2 linked regions of the Stegostoma tigrinum genome follow. The protein of the gene in region 1 purifies or fractionates together with the protein of each later gene. This does not show direct contact. Links are inferred from orthologs where the notes say so. Each region holds a gene or a part of one and is shown on either strand. Other genes may lie near its edges.

What was found.
Region 2: the proteins of pam16 (region 1) and dnajc19 purify together in Homo sapiens (affinity purification with mass spectrometry; 3 studies listed by BioGRID and IntAct, with this or other methods). This does not show direct contact. The link is inferred for Stegostoma tigrinum from reciprocal best matches to the Homo sapiens genes PAM16 and DNAJC19.

Annotation. Positions count from the first base shown.
Region 1 is NC_081376.1:33,329,303-33,339,456, forward strand, and holds the start of pam16 (mitochondrial import inner membrane translocase subunit tim16), read right to left. Parts: upstream 4,772-10,154; 5' UTR 4,636-4,771; coding exon 4,633-4,635; intron 4,375-4,632; coding exon 4,290-4,374; intron 1-4,289. UniProt on the Homo sapiens protein: Regulates ATP-dependent protein translocation into the mitochondrial matrix. Inhibits DNAJC19 stimulation of HSPA9/Mortalin ATPase activity.
Region 2 is NC_081367.1:47,471,110-47,481,958, forward strand, and holds the start of dnajc19 (mitochondrial import inner membrane translocase subunit TIM14), read left to right. Parts: upstream 1-6,610; 5' UTR 6,611-6,783; coding exon 6,784-6,786; intron 6,787-10,849. UniProt on the Homo sapiens protein: Mitochondrial co-chaperone which forms a complex with prohibitins to regulate cardiolipin remodeling.

The sequences.
Region 1 (10,154 bases):
ATCCTATCAACTGGGGTAGCAACTTTGAGGGATCTGTGGATGTGAACCCCAAGATCCTTCTGTTCCTCCACACTGCCGAGAATCCTGCCATTAACCCTGTATACGGCATTCAAATTCAACCTTCCAAAGTGAGTCCCTTCACATTTTTCTGGGTTGAATTCCATCTGCCACTTCTTCGCTCAGCTCTGCATCCTGTCAATGTCCCATTGCAACATACAACAGCCCTTCACACTATCCATAACTCCACCAAACTTTGTGTCATTGGCAAACTTACTAACCCACCCTTCCACTTCCTCATCCAAGTCATTTATAAAGATCACAAAGAGCAGAGGTCCCAGAACAGATCCCTGCGGAACACCACTGGTCACTGAGCTCCAGGCTGAATATTTTCCATCTACTACCACCTCTGTTTTCTATTGGACAGCAAGTTCTGTGTCCAGACAGTCAAATTTCCCTGAATCGCACGCTCTTTACTTTCTAATGAGCCGACCATGGAGAACCTTATCAAATCCACACACACCACATCCACCGCTCTGCCTTCACCAATGTGTTCTGTCATATCCCCAAAGAAAACAATAAGGCTTGTGAGGCATGACCTGCCCCTCACAAAGCCATGCTGACTATTTCTAATCAAACTGTGCTTTTCCTAATAATCATAAATACTATCTCGCAGAATCATCTCCAATAATTTGGCCACCACAAAAGTAAGACTGACTGACCATGTTACAGTCATGGTTTGTTTTACTCTGACATCATTCATTAAACTTGCCTCATTATACATGATCAGATCCAAAATAGCTCAAACTCTGGTTGGATTCACACAATATTGTTCTTGGAGACTCATTTATTTATTACATAAGGAATTGAGTATAGGAGCAAAGAGGTCCTTCTGCAGCTGTACAGGGCCCTGATGGGACCGCACCTGGAGTATTGTGTGCAGTTTTGGTCTCCAAATTTGAGGAAGGACATTTTTCCTATTAGGGGAGTGCAGCGTAGGTTCACGAGGTCAATTCCCAGAATGGCGGGACTGTCATATGTTGAAAGATTGGAGCGACTGGGCTTGTATACACTTGAGTTTAGAAGGATGAGAGGGGATCTGATTGAGACGTATAAGATTATTAAGGGATTGGACACTCTGGAGGCAGGAAGCACGTTTCCGCTGATGGGTGAGTCCAGGACCAGAGGACACAGTTTAAAAATAGGGGGTGGGCCATTAAGAACAGAGTTGAGGAAGAACTTCTTCACCCAGAGAGTGGTGGATATATGGAATGCTCTGCCCCAGAAGGCAGTGGAGGCTAACTGTCTGGATACTTTCGAGAAAGAGATGGTTAGAGCTCTTAAAGATAGTGGAATCAGGGGTTATGGGGATAAGGCAGGAACAGGATATTGATTGTGGATGATCAGCCACGATCATAATGAATGGTGGTGCTGGCTTGAAGGGCCAAATGGCCTACTCCAGCACCTATTGTCTATTGAATTGTTCTTCATGCCTCCCTCTATAAATCTATCGCAATCTACAAGAAAATTAAAGTCACCAACGGTAATATACCACCTTTATTAAGTGTCTTTATATCTTACTTCATTCATTCCCTGTCGACTACATAACTATTGTGAGGGGGCCTATAAACTACTGCTAACTATATTCTTTCCATTTTCCACTACCTCATCCAATTCCATAAGACATAGTAGTGGAAGTAAGGCCATTCGGCCCATTGAGTCCACTCCTCCATTTAATCATGGCTGATGGGCATTTTAACTCCACTTCCCTGCACTCTGCCCGTAGCCCTTGATTCCTTGTGAGATCAATAATTTATCAATCTCTGCCTTGAAGACATTTAATGTCCCGGCAGGCCCACCACTCTCTGGCTGAAGAAATGACTTCCCCATTTCCGTTTTAAATTTACCCCCTCTAATTCTAAGGCTGTGCCCACAGGTCATAGTCTCCCCACCTAATAGAAACAACTTCCTAGCGTCCACCCCTTCTAAACCATACATTATCTTGTAAGTTTCTATTAGATCTTCCCTCAACCTTCTAAACTCTAATGAATACAATCCCAGGATCCTCAGCCGTTCATCGTACGTTAAACCTACCATTCCAGGGATCATCCGTGTAAATCTCCGCTGGACACGCTCCAGCACCAGTATGTCCTTCCTGAGGTGCGGGGCCCAAAATTGGACACAGTATTCTAAATGGGGCCTAACTAGTGCTTTATAAAGTCTCAGAAGCACATCACTGCTTTTATATTCCAACCCTCTTGAGATAAACGACAACATTACATTTGCTTTCTTAATCACGGACTCTATCTGCAAGTTAACCTTTAGAGAATCCTGGACCAATATTCCCAGATCCCTTTGTGCTCTGCTTTACGAATTTTCTCACAGTTTAGAAAATATTCCATGCCTGTATTCTTTCTTCCAAAGTGCAAAACCTCGCATTTGCTCACGTTGAATTTCATCAGCCATTTCCTGGACCACTCTCCTAAACTGTCTAAATCTTTCTGCAGCCTCCCCACCTCCTCAGTACTACCTGCCTGTCTACCTAACTTCGTATCATCAGCAAACTTCGCCAGAATGCCCCCAGTCCCTTCATCCAGATCATTAATATATAAAGTGAACAGCTGTGGCCCCAACACTGAACACTGCGGGACACCACTCGTCACCGATTGCCATTCCGAAAAAGAGACTTTTATCCCAACTCTCTGCCTTCTGTCAGACAGCCTATCCTAATCCAAGCCAGTAGCTTACCTCAAACACCATGGGCCCTCACCTTACTCAGCAGCCTCCCTTATCAAAGGCCTTTTGGAAGTCTAGATAGATAACATCCACTGGGAATCCCTGGTCAAACCTACTTGTTACTTCCTCAAAGAATTCTAACAGATTTGTCAGGCACGACCTACACTTACTAAATCCATTCTGATTTGTTTTAATCTGACCCTGCACTTCCAGGAATTTAGAAATCTCATCCTTAACAATGGATTCTAGAATTTTACCAACAGGGCGGCACGGTGGCTCAGTGGTTAGCACTGCAGCCTCACAGCGCCAGGGACCCAGGTTCGATTCCAGCTTCGGGCGACTGTCTGTGTGGAGTTTGCACGTTCTCCCCGTGTCTGCGTGGGTTTCCTCCGGGTGCTCTGGTTTCCTCCCACAGTCCAAAGATGTGCAGGTTAGGTGGACTGGCCGTGCTAAACAGCCCGTAGTGTTCAGGGGTGTGTGGGTTTTGGGGGGAATGGGTGTGGGTGGGATGCTTCAAGGGGCAGTGTGGACTTGTTGGGCCGAAGGGCCTGTTTCCACGCTGTAGGGAATCTAATCTAATAAACTGAGGTTAGGCTAATTGGCCTATAATTTTCCATCTTTTGTCTTGATCCTTTCTTAAACAAGGGAGTTACAACAGCAATTTTCCAATCATCTGGGACTTTCCCAGACTCCAGTGACTTTTGAAAGATTACAAAGAAAGCCTCCGCTATTTCCTCAGCCGCCACCCCCAGAACTCTAGGATGTAGCCCATCGGGGCCAGGAGATTTATCAATTTTTAGACCTTTTAGCTTTTCTAGCATTTTCTCTTTTGCAATGCCTACCTTACTCAACTCTGCCCCCTGACTCTCCCTAATTGTTGGCATACTACTCATGTCTTCCACTGTGAAGACTGACGCAAAGTACTTATTAAATTCTTCAGCTATTTCCTTATCTCTCATCACTAGCCTTCCAGCATCAATTTGGAGCGGCCCAATATCTACTTTTGCCTCTCGTTTGTTTCTTATGTATTGAAAGAAGCTTTTACTATCATTTCTAATATTACTAGCTAGCCTACCTGCATATATGATCTTCTCCTTCCTTATTGCTCTCTTTGTTATCCTCTGTCTGTCTGTTTTTGTAGCCTTCCCAATCTTCTGATTTCCCAGTGCTCTTGGCCACTTTATAGGCTGTCTCGTTTTCTTTGATATATTTCCTAACTTCCTTTGTTAGCCATGGATGTCTAATCCCACCCCGGATAATCTTTCTTTTTGGGATGAACCTCTGTGTACTGTGTCCTCAATCACACCCAGAAACTCCTGCCGTTGTTGGTCTACTGTCTTCCCCGCTGGGCTCAGCTAGGATCACAGGGGTTCACTGAAATCTTTCCCCATCAATATCAGCTCTGGTTTGGGGGTTAACACTCTCGCTTGCAACAGCAAGTCGTGGCTTGAAGCCCCACTCCAGAGGCATGAGGCCCTGTGTTAATCCTGTCAGTAAACAACAGGACATCAGATCAGCTTTTAAAAAGAAATCTTCAGGCCTCTCCAATTACTTACCAGCCATTTCCTGCCTCACTGCCCGGGCAAATGCTCTCCCCACCACTTGGGCTCCAACGATGATGATCTGAACCAAGTATTTGGCCTGAACACAAGCAGAGAGAGGGCGGATGGTTAGATCCCAGTAATTGAGCAGCAGCTCACTGCACATCCAGGTCCGGAACCCCCGGCCCGGGGCCGAAACCCCGCGGATCAGCGGCCCCGGACACCCCCGCAGGATCTCTCCCCGGACGGCCCCACCGCAACCACCCCCCGGGGTCCCGCCGGACGGCCCCACCGCAACCACCCCCCGGACGGCCCCACCGCACACCCGCCCGGGGCTCCCCCCGATCCGGTTTCCCACCATCGCCCGGCGCCGGCTCCGTTCCTCCAGGAATATCCGGGAACCACGCGCTGTGTCAAGGACGAGTCAGGGTCAAAGGGCAGAAGCCGGTTTGCCGGCACCTGTCCCTCTGCGGACACATGAGAAGACCCGGACGATGTCACTCAGCTGGCGTGAGCGCCTCCCTGCTGGATTGGAGGACGCATGCATCGCCCCCGAGGCAGACAGCGTCCCCTGGCGGAGGCAAAGAGCACAAACTGCAGCAAGATTTCTTGGAAGTTTCAGCTTCTTTCCCGCTTCTCCACATTAAAACCTTGGTAAACTGGCACATTATTATTATTATTATTATTATTATTATTATTATTATTATATATTATATATATATATTATATATTATTATTATTATCATCATCATCAACAATAACTGTCAAAGTTAAAAAGATAAGAATTAATTTACCAGCGTTGTGGGGTACAGACAATTTGAATCAGATGTTAATTGCAAAAGTAAGACTTGAGAGCCAAAGTGTTTTTACAGCCAAATGAGACATTAAATTTAAGGATGAATTCCTCAGTGGCCTCAAGAGGTTGAGCAATTGAACTGGGAATGCTTATGAGATCAGCACAAGGATATTAAAATCACTGAGGGTTGTGGAACTGGGGATGGGGACGTAAAGGAACTTAAAACAAGGATGAGAATTTTGAATCAGAGATAATGGGAACTACAGATGCTGGAGAATCTGAGATAACAAAGTGTGAGGCTGGATGAACACAGCAGGCCAAGCAGCATCTCAGGAGCACAAAAGCTTTTCTGCTCGGCCTGCTGTGTTCATCCAGCTACACACTTTGTTATCTGAGAATTTTAAATGCCGAGGCGTGGCGTAACCTGGGGCCAATGTAAATTGGGAGACGGGTGAGTAAGGAAACAGCAGGGTTTTGAATGAACAAAAGTTTGGCGAGAGTAGATTAAAACTAAGAACTGCGGGTGCAGGAAATCTGAAACAACAATGGAAATTGCGGGATAAACTTGCTGCATCTGAGGAGAGAAAGCAGAGTCAACAAAGGGCCACCGGACCTGCAGAGTTTCTCCAGCAAATTTCTGTTGTGTTACTAAATGGAGTATGCGGAACGCCAGCTAGGAGTGTGTTGGGAAGTAACAAAATGCACAGATGAAGATTTCAGCTGCAGATGAACTGAGGCGGGACAAATGCAGGCAATGTCGCGGAGGTGGAATCGGGTATTTTTACTGAAGGCTGCGTCGGAACCTAATACTCCGGCCAAACAATGAGATTAATGTTGCAAGCAATCTGGGTTCGCCTCAATGTCCATCGTGAGTAATGAAATCAGCGACTAAGGAGCAGAGTTTGTCACAAGTACCTGACAATGATTTTGGTCTTCACTATTTTTTTGGGAGTAAACTGTTGCTCATTCAGTACTTGATGTCAGATGAATAGTCTGGTAACTGAGCATCCGTGGGTGGGGTTGAGAAAGGTGATGGTAAACTGAGAGCTGGGTGCAGCCAGGGAGAATGCAAGGCTGCGTTTTTGGATGATGTAAATAAAGAGCAGTATGTAGATGTAAAATGGGTCTTCGAGGGATACAGGTAAAGTGGGAGCCGGAAGAAAAGCTGCTGCCCCTGATTGGCTGGCTACAACTGCGTAGAAAAGATGGAACCCGCTGAGAACAGTCCCAACTCCTGAATGACATTGCAGAGGAAGTGGAGGAGGATGGTATGGGCAGCTAAGTTAAAAGAGCGTAGACGGGTTGAACACAGATAGTTTACCTAAATCATAATCACACAGGATGCCACAGAAGAACAAAGGCAAAGAGTACAGTTTTAATTCTGGCAGACAGGCTCGAGAACATGTAGATTTTGAAAGTCCAGTTGGAATGTGGTCAATTTAAGATGTAATTCGATACTTCGCATGAGAAGGATATTTCCAAAGAGGCCTTGGACCATTCCTTGTTCCTTATATGTCTATACTCCTCAGTAACAACAGAAAATACAGTAAAGCCATTGCTGCAAACTGGGACATTAACCATATTTCACTATTTTTTAGTTTTGGTGAATTTTGCTGTTCAAGTTCAGTGTTTTACAAATTCATATTTCTTGTATTGTTCTTCAAAATCTTTTAAAGACATGAAGCATTGATGTCCTGACAAGCCTCAAGTGCCAAGTTCAGTCAGTTTGCAGCCATGCGATACATGCGGCTAGATCGTGTACGGCAGCAATAGAATGACTGGGTCAAAGTTCAGTTGGTTGTTCAAGGAAAATCTAGCTCAATGTGTTTTGGCTCCAATCTTCTTTCATCCAAGTTTGGATTTAAGTAATCTCATCTGTGATTCCATCGTACAAATATAAATTTTATAAGATGTCAACTGCAAGAAAGAATTGAATTTCTATGCACCTTTCACAATTTCAGGTCATCCCAAATTTTCTGAAGTCGATGAAGTAAATTTGAAGTGAAGCAAGGAAATTTGGAGCATATTTGTGTAAGGCAGGTTCCCAAAAACAGTTATGAAATACAAAACTGCATTATTTGTTTTAATTATATTGGTTGAGGGACAAATATTGGTCTGAATATCAGAAAGAATTCCTTCGACTTCTACAAAGTAACACAGTGGGTTCTTTTACATCCAATCAAGGGAGCAGAGTCTTGGTTTAAGCTGAAGTTGGTGTCTTAAGACACTGCAGCGTTCCCTCGTACAGTATATGTGGAATCCATCTGGGCTATGGGGTTGTCTGAGGAATGGGACTTGACCACACAATCCCTAATTACCCTTGAGAATTTGTTGAGCCAATTTCTTGAACCATTACTGCTTTCAGGTTTATGGATGCCCATAATGCAGGGGAGTTCCAGGATTTTGACACATGGACTGTGAAGAAATAGTGATGTAATTTGAAGGCAGCATAGTGTTAGCTTGGAGGGAACCTCATAAGTGATAGGGTGCCTGTTGCTCCTATTCTGGATTGTGAAGTTTTGTTGGAGGATTCTTGATGTATTATTGTGTATTATTGCAGTGGTCTTGTTGCGGTACATAGTATTGCCACAGTGTGTGAAATGGAGCGAGCGTTGGAGGTGACTAATCAATCAGTTGGACTGCTGTATCCTGGAGATTGTTGAGCATCTTGAGTGCTGTTAAAGCTGCACCCATCTAGGCAAATGGGGAGTGTTCCATCACACTGACTTGTGCGTTAAAAATGATATACATGCAGGAATTCCTCTCCTCTAACCTGCTCTTGTAGCTTCAGTATTTAACATGGCTAGTCCATTCAGTTTCTGGTCAATGGTAGCTCTAGAATACTGACAGTGGGGAGATTTAGCAATGATAATGCCATTGAATGTAAAGGGGCAATGGTTAGATTCTGTATTATTGGAGATGGTTATTACCTGGCACTGTGGCAAATAAAATGCATGTCAGCTCTAGCCTGATACTGTCCATTTTTCAACATGGATTGCTTGAGTACCTGAGGAACTGTAAATGGTGAACGTTGTGCAATCATTATCACACATCCCTATTTTTGACCTCACGAAGGAGGGAACATAGAACATTACAGCACAGTGCAGGCCCTTCGGCCCTCGATGTGCCAACCTGTCATGCTGATCTCAACCCCATCTAACCTACACTATTCCATGTACGTCCATATGCTTATCCAAAGACGACTTAAATGTACCTAAAGTTGGCGAATCTACTACCGTTGCAGGCAAAGCGTTCCATTCCCTTACTACTCTCTGAGTAAAGAAACTACGTCTGACATCTGTCCTATATCTTTCACCCCTCAATTTAAAGCTATGCCCCCTCGTGCACGCCGTCACCATCCTAGGAAAAAGGCTCTCCCTATCCACCCTATCTAACCCTCTGATTATTTTATACGTTTCAATTAAGTCACCTCTCAATCTTCTTCTCTCTAATGAAAACAGCCTCAAGTCCCTCAGCCTTTCCTCGTAAGACCTTCCCTCAATACCAGGCAACATCCTAGTAAATCTGTGATAACGGGAACTGCAGATGCTGGAGAATCCAAGATAATAAAATGTGAGGCTGGATGAACACAGCAGGCCGAGCAGCATCTCAGGAGCACAAAAGCTGACGTTTTGGGCCTAGACGCTTCAAGCTTTTGTGCTCCTGAGATGCTGATGGGCCTGCTGTGTTCATCCAGCCTCACATTTTATTATCCTAGTAAATCTCCTCTGCACCCTTTCCAAAGCTTCCACATCCTTCTTATAATGCGGTCACCAGAACTGTACACAATACTCCAAGTGCGGCCGCACCAGAGTTTTGTACAGCTTCACCATAACCTCTTGGTTCCGGAACTCGATCCCTCTATTAATAAAAGCTAAAACACTATATGTGTTCTTAACAGCCCTGTCAACCTGGGTGGCAACTTTCAAAGATCTGCGTACATGGACACCGAGATCTCTCTGCTCATCTACACTACCAAGAATCTTACCATTAGCCCAGTACTTTGCCTTCCGGTTACTTCCACCAAAGTGCATCACTTCACACTTGTCTGCATTAAACTCCATTTGCCACCTCTCAGCCCAGCTCTGCAGCTTATCTATGTCTCTCTGCAACCTACAGCATCCTTCGTCACTATCCACAACTCCACCAACCTTAGTGTCGTCTGCAAATTTACTAACCCATCCTTCTACGCCCTCATCCAGGTAATTTATAAAAATGACAAACAGCAGTGGACCCAACACCGACCCTTGCGGTACACCACTAGGAACTGCTCTCCAGGATGAACATTTCCCATCAACTACCACCCTCTGTCTTCTTTCAGCAAGCCAATTTCCGATCCAAACTGCTATATCTCCCACAATTCCATTCCTCCGCATTTTGTACAATAGCCTATTGTGGGGAACCTTATCGAACGCCTTGCTGAAATCCATATACACCACATCAACCAGTTTACTCTCATCTACCTGTTTGGTCACCTTCTCAAAGAACTCAATAGGGTTTGTGAGGCATGACCTTCCCTTCACAAAACCGTGCTGACTATCCCTAATCAATTTATTCTTTTCTAGATGATTATAAATCCTATCCCTTATAACCTTTTCCAACACTTTACCAACAACTGAGGTAAGGCTCACTGGTCTATAATTACCAGGGTTGTCTCTACTCCCCTTCTTGAACAGGGGAACCACATTTGCTATCCTCCAGTCATCTGGCACTATTGCTGTAGACAATGACGAGTTAAAGATCAATGCCAAAGGCTCGGCAATCTCCTCCCTGGCTTCCCAGAGGATCCGAGGATAAATCCCATCTGGCCCAGGGGACTTATCTATCTTCACCCTCTGAAGGATTTCTAATACCTCTTCCTTGTGAACCTCAATCCCACCTAGTCGAGTAGCCTGTATCTCAGTATTCTCCTTGACAACATTGTTGTTTTCTAGAGTGAATACTGTTGCAAAATATTCATTTAGTGCTTCCCCTATCTCATCTGACTCCACACACAACTTACCACTACTATCCTTGATTGGGCCTAATCTTACTTTTGTCATTCTTTTATTCCTTAAATACCTATAGAAAGCCTTAGGGTTTAC
Region 2 (10,849 bases), on another chromosome or scaffold:
ATGTCGGTTAGGTCCCCTTCCACCTTCACGTACCTTCCAAGGAAGGTCAGGACATCAACTGCTGGCACATGCGGGTTGTACACGTGTACAGTCACCATACGGCTCCTCTGCGCTGGCATCATGAACAGCGGGACAGCAGTCAATACAGAGAGGGGGCCCTCACCACCTTTCTCCTTGAAAACCTCCAGGAAGCGCTTGCAAAGCTTGGAACTCCTGAAGGTTACATCGTAAAAACCTCCAGAGAAATCCTGCAGGCAGTAAATGTCCGCAGCAGCGAACCCTCAACAGTCCAACAGGACCCTCTTCACGAAGAAGGTGCGGTCCACAGGTGCACCTTCATCCACCTTCTTCACGGAAACACGGATGGTGTTCCGGACCCCCTGACCTGGGGCACGAGCACTCACTGCAGTCATCGTTGCAGGTTGGCTGCTCCCCGAACCAGCGTTAAGCCAAAGCCAGCATTAAGATCCACCGGTTGCAAGGGTGCACTGCCAACCCGACTCCCTCCTTCCACCTCCAACACAGTCATGCTCTCCTCCTCTCGGTCCACAAAAGAGTGGGTCTTTATTTTGTTCCGGATGTAAGCTGGTTCACTGAGCTGGAAGGTTTGTTCCCAAATAATCAGTCACCATTCTAGGTAACATCAACAGTGAGCCTCTGAAGTGCTGGTGTTATGTCCCACTTTCTATTTATCTGTTTAGGTTTCCTTGGGTTGGTGATATCATTTCCTGTTCTTTCTCAGAGGGTGGTCAATTGATTTGGAGTCAATGTGTTTGTTGATGGAGTTCTGGTTTGAATGCCATCCTTCTAGGAATTCTCATGCGTGTCTCTGTTTGGCTTTGCCCAGTGTATTCAGGAAGGATTCCTGACACAGTATGTATATAGACCAACATGAGGAGAGGCCACTTTGGATTTAGTGCTTGGCAATGAAACAGGCCAAGTGTTAGACTTGTTGGTAGGACAGCATTTTGGTGTTAGCGATCATAACTCTGTTATTTTTACAATAGTCATGGAAAAGGATAGGTACATACAGCAGGGTAATGTTTATAATTAGGGGAAGGGTAATTATAATTCTGTTAGGCAAGAACTGGGTAACATAACATAAAACGGGAACAGATGCTGTCAGGGAAGAGCACTATAGAAATGTGGAGATTGTTGAAGGAATGCATACTGTCTGCTCGACATATTTGTCCTTAGCAGGTAGGGAAGATGCGGATGAGAAATCTACACATTCAGAAACAAATAATTCAGCAGTAGTTTAACTGGCCAAACCATCCCTAAACTTCAAAATTCTGCAAAGCTCTCCAAACCAGAGAATCTTTCTGAAAGCTTGTTTTTTTTATCTCAAAAGTATTATCTTCTACTCAGATCTTTACAGTTATTTTGACCTGCAGTGTTGTGATTCCAGCTGATGTTATCACTGGGCAAGATCCCAGACTGAAACCTGGCTTGATAGATTTGTTTTATTGAGTTTTTTTTTGACAGGGTGTTCTTTCACAAAAACATAAGCAGATTTTGTTTCAATGATAAAACAAGGTGAAAACGAAATTGAATAAATCACTGAACATTAAGTTTAAACATTTTCAAAGAGACAAAATATCATCCTACTATTCCAAAATGAACCTTTACAGATCTCAATCATGTTCCTATACAAGAGACGAATCTCTTTCTTGAACACCTCAATAGGTTAATTTAACTCTGACTTCAACTTTCAGTCTAAGGTCTGATAGCCTTCCCCAGGAGCTTGTGGTTTCTGATGAGCAGGTTACCTTGTTTGTTCTTTTTCACGAATATGTATTTTATAATTTGCATGCAGTCCAGCTGTTGGATATATATTGATACTTAATAGAACAATTTGCCTGGTAAATGCTTAGATTCACTTTCAATTCTTAGCTAGTAGGTAGAATTAGGGAAGTAACGTATGTTCAGTTATGAATATGATAATTTAAGATTGAGATATTTGTGGTTCACATTTTTCTTGCAGTTTAAAACTCATCTGGTTGAGTGCAGACAGGTTAAAAATTTCAGTTTTCTCTTTTGTTTTTTGTTGCAATCCACTATTCAACTGCGATCCCCAGAAACTAGAGTTACTGTGGTCATGTCACTGATCCTAGTGTACTGGAATGGAATGCTAATCTTAGCAATGTTAACCATGGAACTGTCTGTCACTTTTTTTTTAAAAAAGCCTATCTGGGCCACTGGCATCTTTCAGAGGTGAATACCTGTAATCAAAATTTAGAGATTAATTGAATGTAAGGAAGACAGCAAATAGGAAATGCTGTTAAACGGCATACAAAAAAGGACTAAAATGTTTTAATTGTTTAAAACAATGTTAGGAAGTGTGAGGGAAATAGTTTACATTGTTCCTTATGTTATGAACCCTGTGAAGACCAAAACCACAACAGGATATAATTTCCCAAATTACACTAACAGAAGAAATGGTATCAACCAAAATCATAAGTTTTTAAAACTTTGTTCTTATGTCTATTTCTGTTCAATAAAACAATCAAATTGAGGTGAACTGTATTCACTAGAAACTAAGGTGTACTCTTTAAATAGCCAACACAAGATTACTCTTGTAGGTTTAAAGCAACCCCCAACAGCACACGTGGCATTAATCTCAAGCAGAGTTTCTCCAATATTTCCAGATACACTTTCAATTCCTTCATTTTTATTGGATTCAGTTGGCAAGTGGCTTCTGAGGTAAGTTTTTTAATGCTTCCCTGAGTTCCAGGGTTACGTTGTGCAGCAAAAGACACACATTTCCAGAGTCCAACACCTACGCTCGGTTCGCAATAAACAACTGCACCTCCCAGTCGCAAACCACTTCAACTCCCCCTCCCAGTCTTTAGATGACATGTCCATCCTGGGCCTCCTGCAGTGCCACAACGATGCCACCCAAAGGTCGCAGGAACAGCAACTCATATTCCGCGTGGGAACCCTGCAACCGAATGGTATCAATGTGGATTTCACAAACTTAAGTCTCCCTTCCTTCCCCCCCCACCCCACCCCACTGCATCCCAAAACCAGCCCAGCTCGTCCCCGCTTCCCTAACCTGTTCTTCCCCTCTCCTATCCCCTCCTCCCACCTCGAGCTGCACCTCCATTTCCTACCTACTAACCTCATCCCGCCCCCTTGACCTGTCCGTCCTCCTGGACTGACCTATCTTCTCCCTACCTCCCCACCTACACTCCATTTTTACTGGCTCCACCCTCACCTCTTCGACTTGTCTGTCTCCTCTCCACCTATCTTCTCCTCTATCCATCTTCGATCCACTGCCCCCTTTCTCACTATTTATTTCAGAACCCCTTCCCCCTCCCCCATTTCTGAAGAAGGGCCTTGGCCCGAAACGTCAGCTTTCCTGCTCCTGAGATGCTGCTTGGCCTGCTGTTTTCATCCAGCTCTAAACCTTGTTATCTCGGATTCTCCAGCATCTGCAGTTCCTATTATCTCTTCTTCCAGCTTTCTGTTGCTTCTTTCCATAGCTGTTCCCACATGAAGCTCCATTTCATAAATATCCTCAACTGTTCTCCCTTTCCTAAACGAAACTGAACATCTGTTCTGTTCACAATCTGATCCCCTCATTAACTTTTATTTCTTTGGCAAATGAAGACCACCAGATTTCTCAGCTAATGCTACAGCCAAGAAAACCAGTCAAGAAATGAAAACAGAAAATGCTGGAGAAACTCAGCAGGTCTGGCAGCATTTATGGAGAGAGAATCCGAGTTAACATTTCAAGTCTGATATGATTCTTTAGTTGCTGAGTTTCTGCTGCATTTTCTGCTTTCAGTTCAGGCTTACAGGAAGTCACAGTATTTTACTTCTAAAAGAAACTCCTCCAGATAACGAAGTGTGGAGCTGGACGAACACAGCAGGCCAAGCAGCATCTCAGGAGCATAAAAGCTGATGTTTCGGGCCTAGACCCTTCATCAGAAAAGGGGGATGGGGAGACGATTCTGAAATAAATAGGGAGAGAGGGGGAGGCGGACTGAAGATAGAGTATGGGTGGGGAGGCAGGGAGGGGATAGGTCAGTCTGGGGAGGATGGACAGGTCAAAGGGGTGGAATGAGTTTAGTAGGTAGGAAATGGAGGTGCGGCTTGAGGTGGGGATAGGTGAGAGGAACAACAGGTTAGGGAAGCGGGGACGAGCTGGGCTGGTTTTGGGATGCAGTGGGGGGAGGGGGGGATTTTGAAGCTGGTGAAATCCACATCCATACCATTGGGCTGCAGGGTTCCCAAGTGGAATATGAGTTGCTGTTCCTGCAACCTTTAGGTGGCATCAATATGGCATTGCAGGAGGCCCAGAATGGACATGTCATCTAAGGAATGGGAGGGGGAATTGAAATGGTTCGTGACTGGGAGGTGCAGTTGTTTACTGCGAACCATTAAGTGTTCTGCAAAGCAGTCCCCAAGCCTCTGCTTGGTTTCCCCAATGTAGCGGTAGCCACGCCGTGTACAGTGGATGCAGTATACCACATTGGTGGATGAGCAGGTAAACCTCTGCTTGATGTGGAAAGTCATCTTGGGGCATGGGATGGGGGTGAGGGAAGTGGTGTGGGGGCAGGTGTAACACTTTTTGTGGTAGCTCGTCCCTGCCTGCCTAACCTGTGCTTCCCCTCTCCTAGCCCCCACTCCCACCTCAAGCTGCGTCTCCATTTCCTCTTAAGATGCTGCTTGGCCTGCTGTGTTCATCCAGCCCCACACTTTGTTGTCTTGGATACTCCAGCATTTCAGTTCCCATTAGGTCTGATCTCCTTCTCCAGAAACTCCATTTTGGACTCTCTTGCAGCTAAGAACAGACCCCAAATTAAAAGTTTTTGAAGCCATCTTATCTCACTTATTACTTTGCAGAATCAACAATGCTGGCTTATGAAGTTATAGATGGAGGGAATCAAAACTGTGCTATTGCAGAGTTCCAAAATCACTGCTTCTTGCAACAGGAGTTCCATACAGCTGAAGAATAACTCAAGAGACAGAACTGTTACACTCTGAAAGAATGTGTGAAACTAAGTTTATGTTTAATCTTCAAGGTAACCACGAAATGAAGTTGCTATACCAGAAAATTGGGCAAGTACGAAAAAGCTTAATATTGAAATATGAGTCAATCAAGAATGGCAGCAAGTGGTATGATTTACTGCATGCTCTGGTAAATGATATCAAAGAATTGTACTGTCTTACTGCTCATGTGGTTTAACTAAATGAAATCATGCATGTTGTTGTGATTATATTTCTGTCAATGTGTGTGTTATATTCTGTTATTCCTGCATTCTGAACATCATTTTCATATTTTACCTAGAAACAAGAAAAGTTCTGAACTTTGGAAAAGGCACCCTGTGGAAGAAAAATCAACAAAAGTTATGATGTCATGATCAAAATTAATATCAAAATTTATAATCTTGATTTCCTCCAACATGTTCTAATTTCCTACAGGAAACAAAGTAAACTGATGTCAATATAATGGTTAGATACACAATTTGACAAAGGCAACTGTAGATACAATAAAATGTAATAACCAACTAAGCTTAAAAAGGAAGAGTCTAGGCCCGAAACATCAGCTTTTGTGCTCCTGAGATGCTGCTTGGCCTGCTGTGTTCATCCAGCTCCACACGTTGTTATCTTGCATTATTGGTCTCGATGTTCTGTGGGGGCAATCATCAAAGCGTAGGCTGCAAGGGAGGACAGTTGCGAATTAGGAGCAGTCTGAGTTATTGGGTGGGTCAGTTGTGGGAATTTTCTGCCTGACATCCTGGGTAACAATTCAGGGACATAAATCAAAACTGTCTGCGTCAGCAGCGCTCACCTAGAATTACAGATTTTTGTGCAGGGTTCTGTGCAACGGAATTTCACCTGCGGAGCACGTCGCTGTCAATCAGGCAGTTTATGTCAGAAGCAGCAGGTATGCAATGATCACAGATAATCGGGTGATTTTGGTGCGCATCCTGAGTCATCTCGGTTGATCCGGAGACTGCATTTTAATGTTTAATTCTAATACATTTAAAACAGTAATAGGACTAGTGGAGTTTACTGGGCAATCTAAAGATTGCCGTGTTTTTACAGAAGGTACCCTGAGACACTGAAATTAGACTCCAATTCCTGAGTACACGTCATTTTCCTTTCTCTCAAGTTCTCCCTGATTAAAAACGAAGGCCTAAAGAAGAATAATTCCTCCAAGCGTTAGGGCTACTTCTCTCTCCACAGATACTGACAGACCGGCCGAGGTCCTCCAGTATATTCCCCCTAATAAGTAAGATTGGCTCTGAATTATGGAGATTCCATTGAAGTCACATATTGAAATAGAAATTTGACGAGGGTTGTTTTACACTTAGCAAAAAAAGTTAACGTAAGCAATGCCATTTTATTTTAATAACACTCACATAGTTCCGACTGTTAGAAGCATCTGACTTCCTCAACAGGACATGTCGCTCTCACTGTAGCCTTCGTTATCTCTGATCATATCACACCTACGACAGACGATAGGTGAGAACACACCGCCTGATTGACAGCGTCCCGCCCCCCACGTGAAGGGGCGGGGCTTCGTACGCACAGGCCGTTCTAACTTCCCCCCACCTCCACGGGAAATTCACCAATCACAGGACCGGCTGACAAAAGGAGGCAGGCACGCCAACGACGGACACGTTTCACGACTACAAAAGTCGATGTACGACAAACGGTAGCTTTGGTCACGTGTCTTTTTCACTGTGATTCGAAAAGGAAATCCGAATAGAATGTCAGCGCGTAGTTTTTGTCTTTATTTCTAAAAGATAGCCCATTTTACGATTAAAAATGGTAAGTTAAATGGTTTAAATCTATAAACTGGATTCTGTGCAATTTAAAGGAACAGATTGCACACTCACTGCAGAGAATTGAGACTACTTTTAAAATAGGTTCAGGTTTGCAGTTATCTTGTGTCTTTGCCTCTCACGACATTTCGATGAGGAGATGCTTTGGTAGGGCACTGAGCCTCCACGCTGGGAGGGGCCATGTGACTGAGTCATGAGGGACATGGGTCAAGTGAACAGCCAAGGTCTTTGTCTTAGGGTGGGAGAGTCCAAAACTAGAGATAATTAGTTTTAATTCGCGCGGGGAAAGACTTAAAAAGGACTAAAAGGGTCACATTTTTACGCAGAGGGTGTCTGTACGGAATGAGCTGCTGGTGGAAGTTCATAGAATCCCTACAGTGTGGAAACGGGCACTTCGGCCCAGCAAGTCCACGCCGACTCTCAACATCCCATCCATACCCAGCCTCCTATAACCCACCTAATCCACACATCCCTCAATACTACGGGGAATTTTTCATGGCCACTCCACCAAGTCTGCACATCTTTGGACTGTTGGAGGAAACTGGAGCACCTGGAGGGGAAAATTACAAAATTTAAAGGGAATCTGGATGGTTATATGAATAGGAAAGATTTAGACAGATATGGGTCAAATGCTGGAAAAGGACTAGGTCAGAGTGGGATACCTGGTTGGCAAGCATGAGTTGGACCACAAGATCTCTTTCTGTGCTGTATGGCTCTCTGGAGTGATGCTACAATAATATTTAAAAAAAAAATAAAACTGTGGATGCTGGAGATCTGAAACAAAGACAGACTGCTGGAGAAAGAGATAATAGGAACTGCAGATGCTGGAGAATCCAAGATAGCAAAGTGTGAAGCTGGATGAACACAGCAGGCCAAGTAGCATCTCAGGAGCATGAAAGCTGATGTTTCGGGCCTAGACCCTTCATCAGAGCTGAACTCAGGTTTGGCAGCATTTGTGGGAAGAATGCAGAGTTAATGTTTTGATGTCCAAACACTGCATCAGAACTGTTAGTAGCTAGGAAAAAGTGGTATTTACGCTGAAGCCAATGTGGGAAGGAGTCAGGTAAGTGGATAGGTGGAGATGGAGCTCAGACATACGGAAGGTGTAAGTAAACCAGATTACGGGTAGCCAGCCAGGACAGAAGAAAAGCTGAATAAGTGGTAAGAGCTGAGTGAGAAGATGGGCTAGATATGCTGAATGCAACCCGTATAATGTGATCAGAGATAATAAGAACTGCAGATGCTGGAGTCAGAGATAATATAGTCTGGAGCTGGAGGAACACAGCAGGTGTGCCGCATCAGAGGAGCAGAAAAGTTGACTTTTCAGGTTGGGACTGAAATGGGGATGGGGAAGGGCGCTCAGAAATAAATAGAGGCTCAGAAACTGTTTTGTAGAGCACCTGCACTCTGTTCGTGACAAACGATAACACCTTCCGGTGGTGAACCATTTCACCTCCCCTTCCCACTCCCTGGGTGATGTGTCCATCCGGAGCCTCTTCCAGTGTCACAATAATGCTACCCGCAAACTGGAGGAGCAGCACCTCATATTCCGACTCAGAAGTGTACAGCTCAGTGGTGTAAATGTAGATTTTTACCAGTTTCAAAATCTCCCCTCTCCCCTGCCTCCTTGGCCTCTCACAACCTCTTCATCTTCTCACCCGCCTATCTGCCCCTTCCACCTCACTGACCAATCCCCACCACTCCCTGCTTGCACTCACCTATCACTATCTTTCCTGCCATCCCTAGCCTACCCTTCCTCTCTCCATTTATTTCTGAGCTCCATTCCCCCTTCCCATTTCTGAGGCAGGGTCCCAACCCAAAATGCCAACCTTCTTGCTCCATATAATGTGATAATGTGCCTAGGAGTATGTAGGAATGGGTGACTGTTAAAAACGATGTATCTGGCTGTGGGGTTGGTGAAAAGTATGGAATCGGGCAGGAACAGCTTGGGAAGGATGATATCAGGCTCTTAAAGTTATTGGACTCGAGTGTTGCATCATACGGGCTGCAGCGTCCCAAAGTGGAAAATGAGATGCCGCTCTTTGAGCTTGTGCTGAGGCTGGTTGGAAGACTACAGCAGGCCTCTGTTAGGAAAATTGGTGTAGGAATGCAGTGGTGTGTTGAAATGACAGGCAACTGGAAGTTTGGGGTCACTTTTGCAGGTGTCCTGCAAAGTGGTCATCCAGCCTGCATTGTCTCCACAATGTAGAGAAGACAATGTGAATATCGAATACATGAGACTAGATTGAATGAAGTACAAGTAAATCACTACTTCACCTTTTTGGATGAGGATGTAAACATGTAATATTACTTCTGCCATTGCATGGAAGGGTGATGTAGGAGTGCATGGAGATGTTGGAAATAGAGGAGGAATGTATCGGAGGGAATTCTGACAAGCGAAGGGAATATGTGTCAGGAATATTATGGATACCTGATGTTAGAATAGTGGTAATGCTAACAGTTACTACTTTGTAGTGTTTATTTTGAAATGCAGTTTTATTGGTTTTCTATTTGAAAAGCAGAATTGAGTTCAAACTGGACTAATAAGTGACTTGAAACAAAGTGCTGGGAAATTCAGGTCTAGCAGCATCTGAGAGTTAATGTTTTGTTAAGTCTGGTGGTCACTCCAACCAGTACATCCTAAATAGCTAAAATTTGCATCAAGTAGATTTGGTAAGAATGAGGTAAGAGTACAGATGAATATGCTGCTTATGATTTTCTGATATCCATAAGTTTTTGAACAGAATAAGCAGATCAGAATTTAAATATAACTCATTCTTTCAAGAAGGAAGGGAGTCAAAACAGGGAATTAGAAGCTAATAAGATTGATGTCATTTGTTGGAAAAATGCTAGGCTTGATTACTAAAGAAAAACCTAAGAATGCATGTGCATGTGAAAAAATAGATCAGAAGGATCAAACAAAGCCTGTATGGTTTTATGAAAGTGAACTTGTTTTTGAAAAGTGTTTTTTGCTGAGGATGTAACTCTTAAATAGATAAGGAGGAATTAGTAAATATTTTTGGGTTTCCAAAGAGAGTTTAATACTCCAGTAAAGGCAAAAGCTCATGGAGTTGGGAGTAATACTGGGCAGTGGAAAGATTGGATATTGGACGGAAAGTAGGGATAAATGAGTAATTTGAGACTGTTTACAGTCTTGATTGACTTTAGCCGAGAGACCAAGAATAAAATGTCCAAATTTGCTGAGGCAATAACTAAATGGGAAAGTTAACTGTGCAGGGCACAAAGGCAGAAAATTATAGACAGGTTGTACATGAGGACAACAAGATGACAGATGGAGGTTTATAGGAAAGAGAAGAAAAGTAGTATTATTCATTTAAGATTAGATTTTTTAAAAAAGGGCTCATACTTTAAAAAACAGGAATAGGTAATCATATCCCAAAATTTTATATTTTGACACCACCGTCCTCTGCTACCAGTATTATGCCTAAAAAAATAACTATTTAAACTGTTCAAATCCACACTTGAGAGCCTAATTTCAAATCACCTCACACTCATCCCTCTGATTACTAGCTTCCCATTCTTTTATATACCAATCATACCCAATTCACCCTTAATAAATACATCTATCACCTATTCCTTATTCTATTAGGTCTCAAGCACTTCTTCAGACTATAACAGTACCAACCCAGTTTTGGTGATGGATAAAGACCCACAAACAATGTGGCAGTCAAATAAGTTTCTTTGTCCACCGTTGATTTTGTGCCCTGAGACTTCATGGCATCTGTAATTAATATTGAGAATTCTTTCCTCACTCCCTTCTTATTATTTACCACACCGCTGCATCCTTTGGTCTATCTCATCAGCCATTGGAACGGTATTTACGGTTTATACTCAAGAATGTTGATGGAGAAATGTGAGCATTGACTGACAGTTATGAATGCAGTGTATTGACTGGTTTGAGACAGAAGTTCAATTTTGACAGAAGTCCTCAAATATTAGTAAGGAAGACTTTTCAGAGTAAACTGGGCAGGGAGTACCTTGATCCACTACTAGGTAGTCCAATGATTCTGTTCGTCTTAGACTTCTTA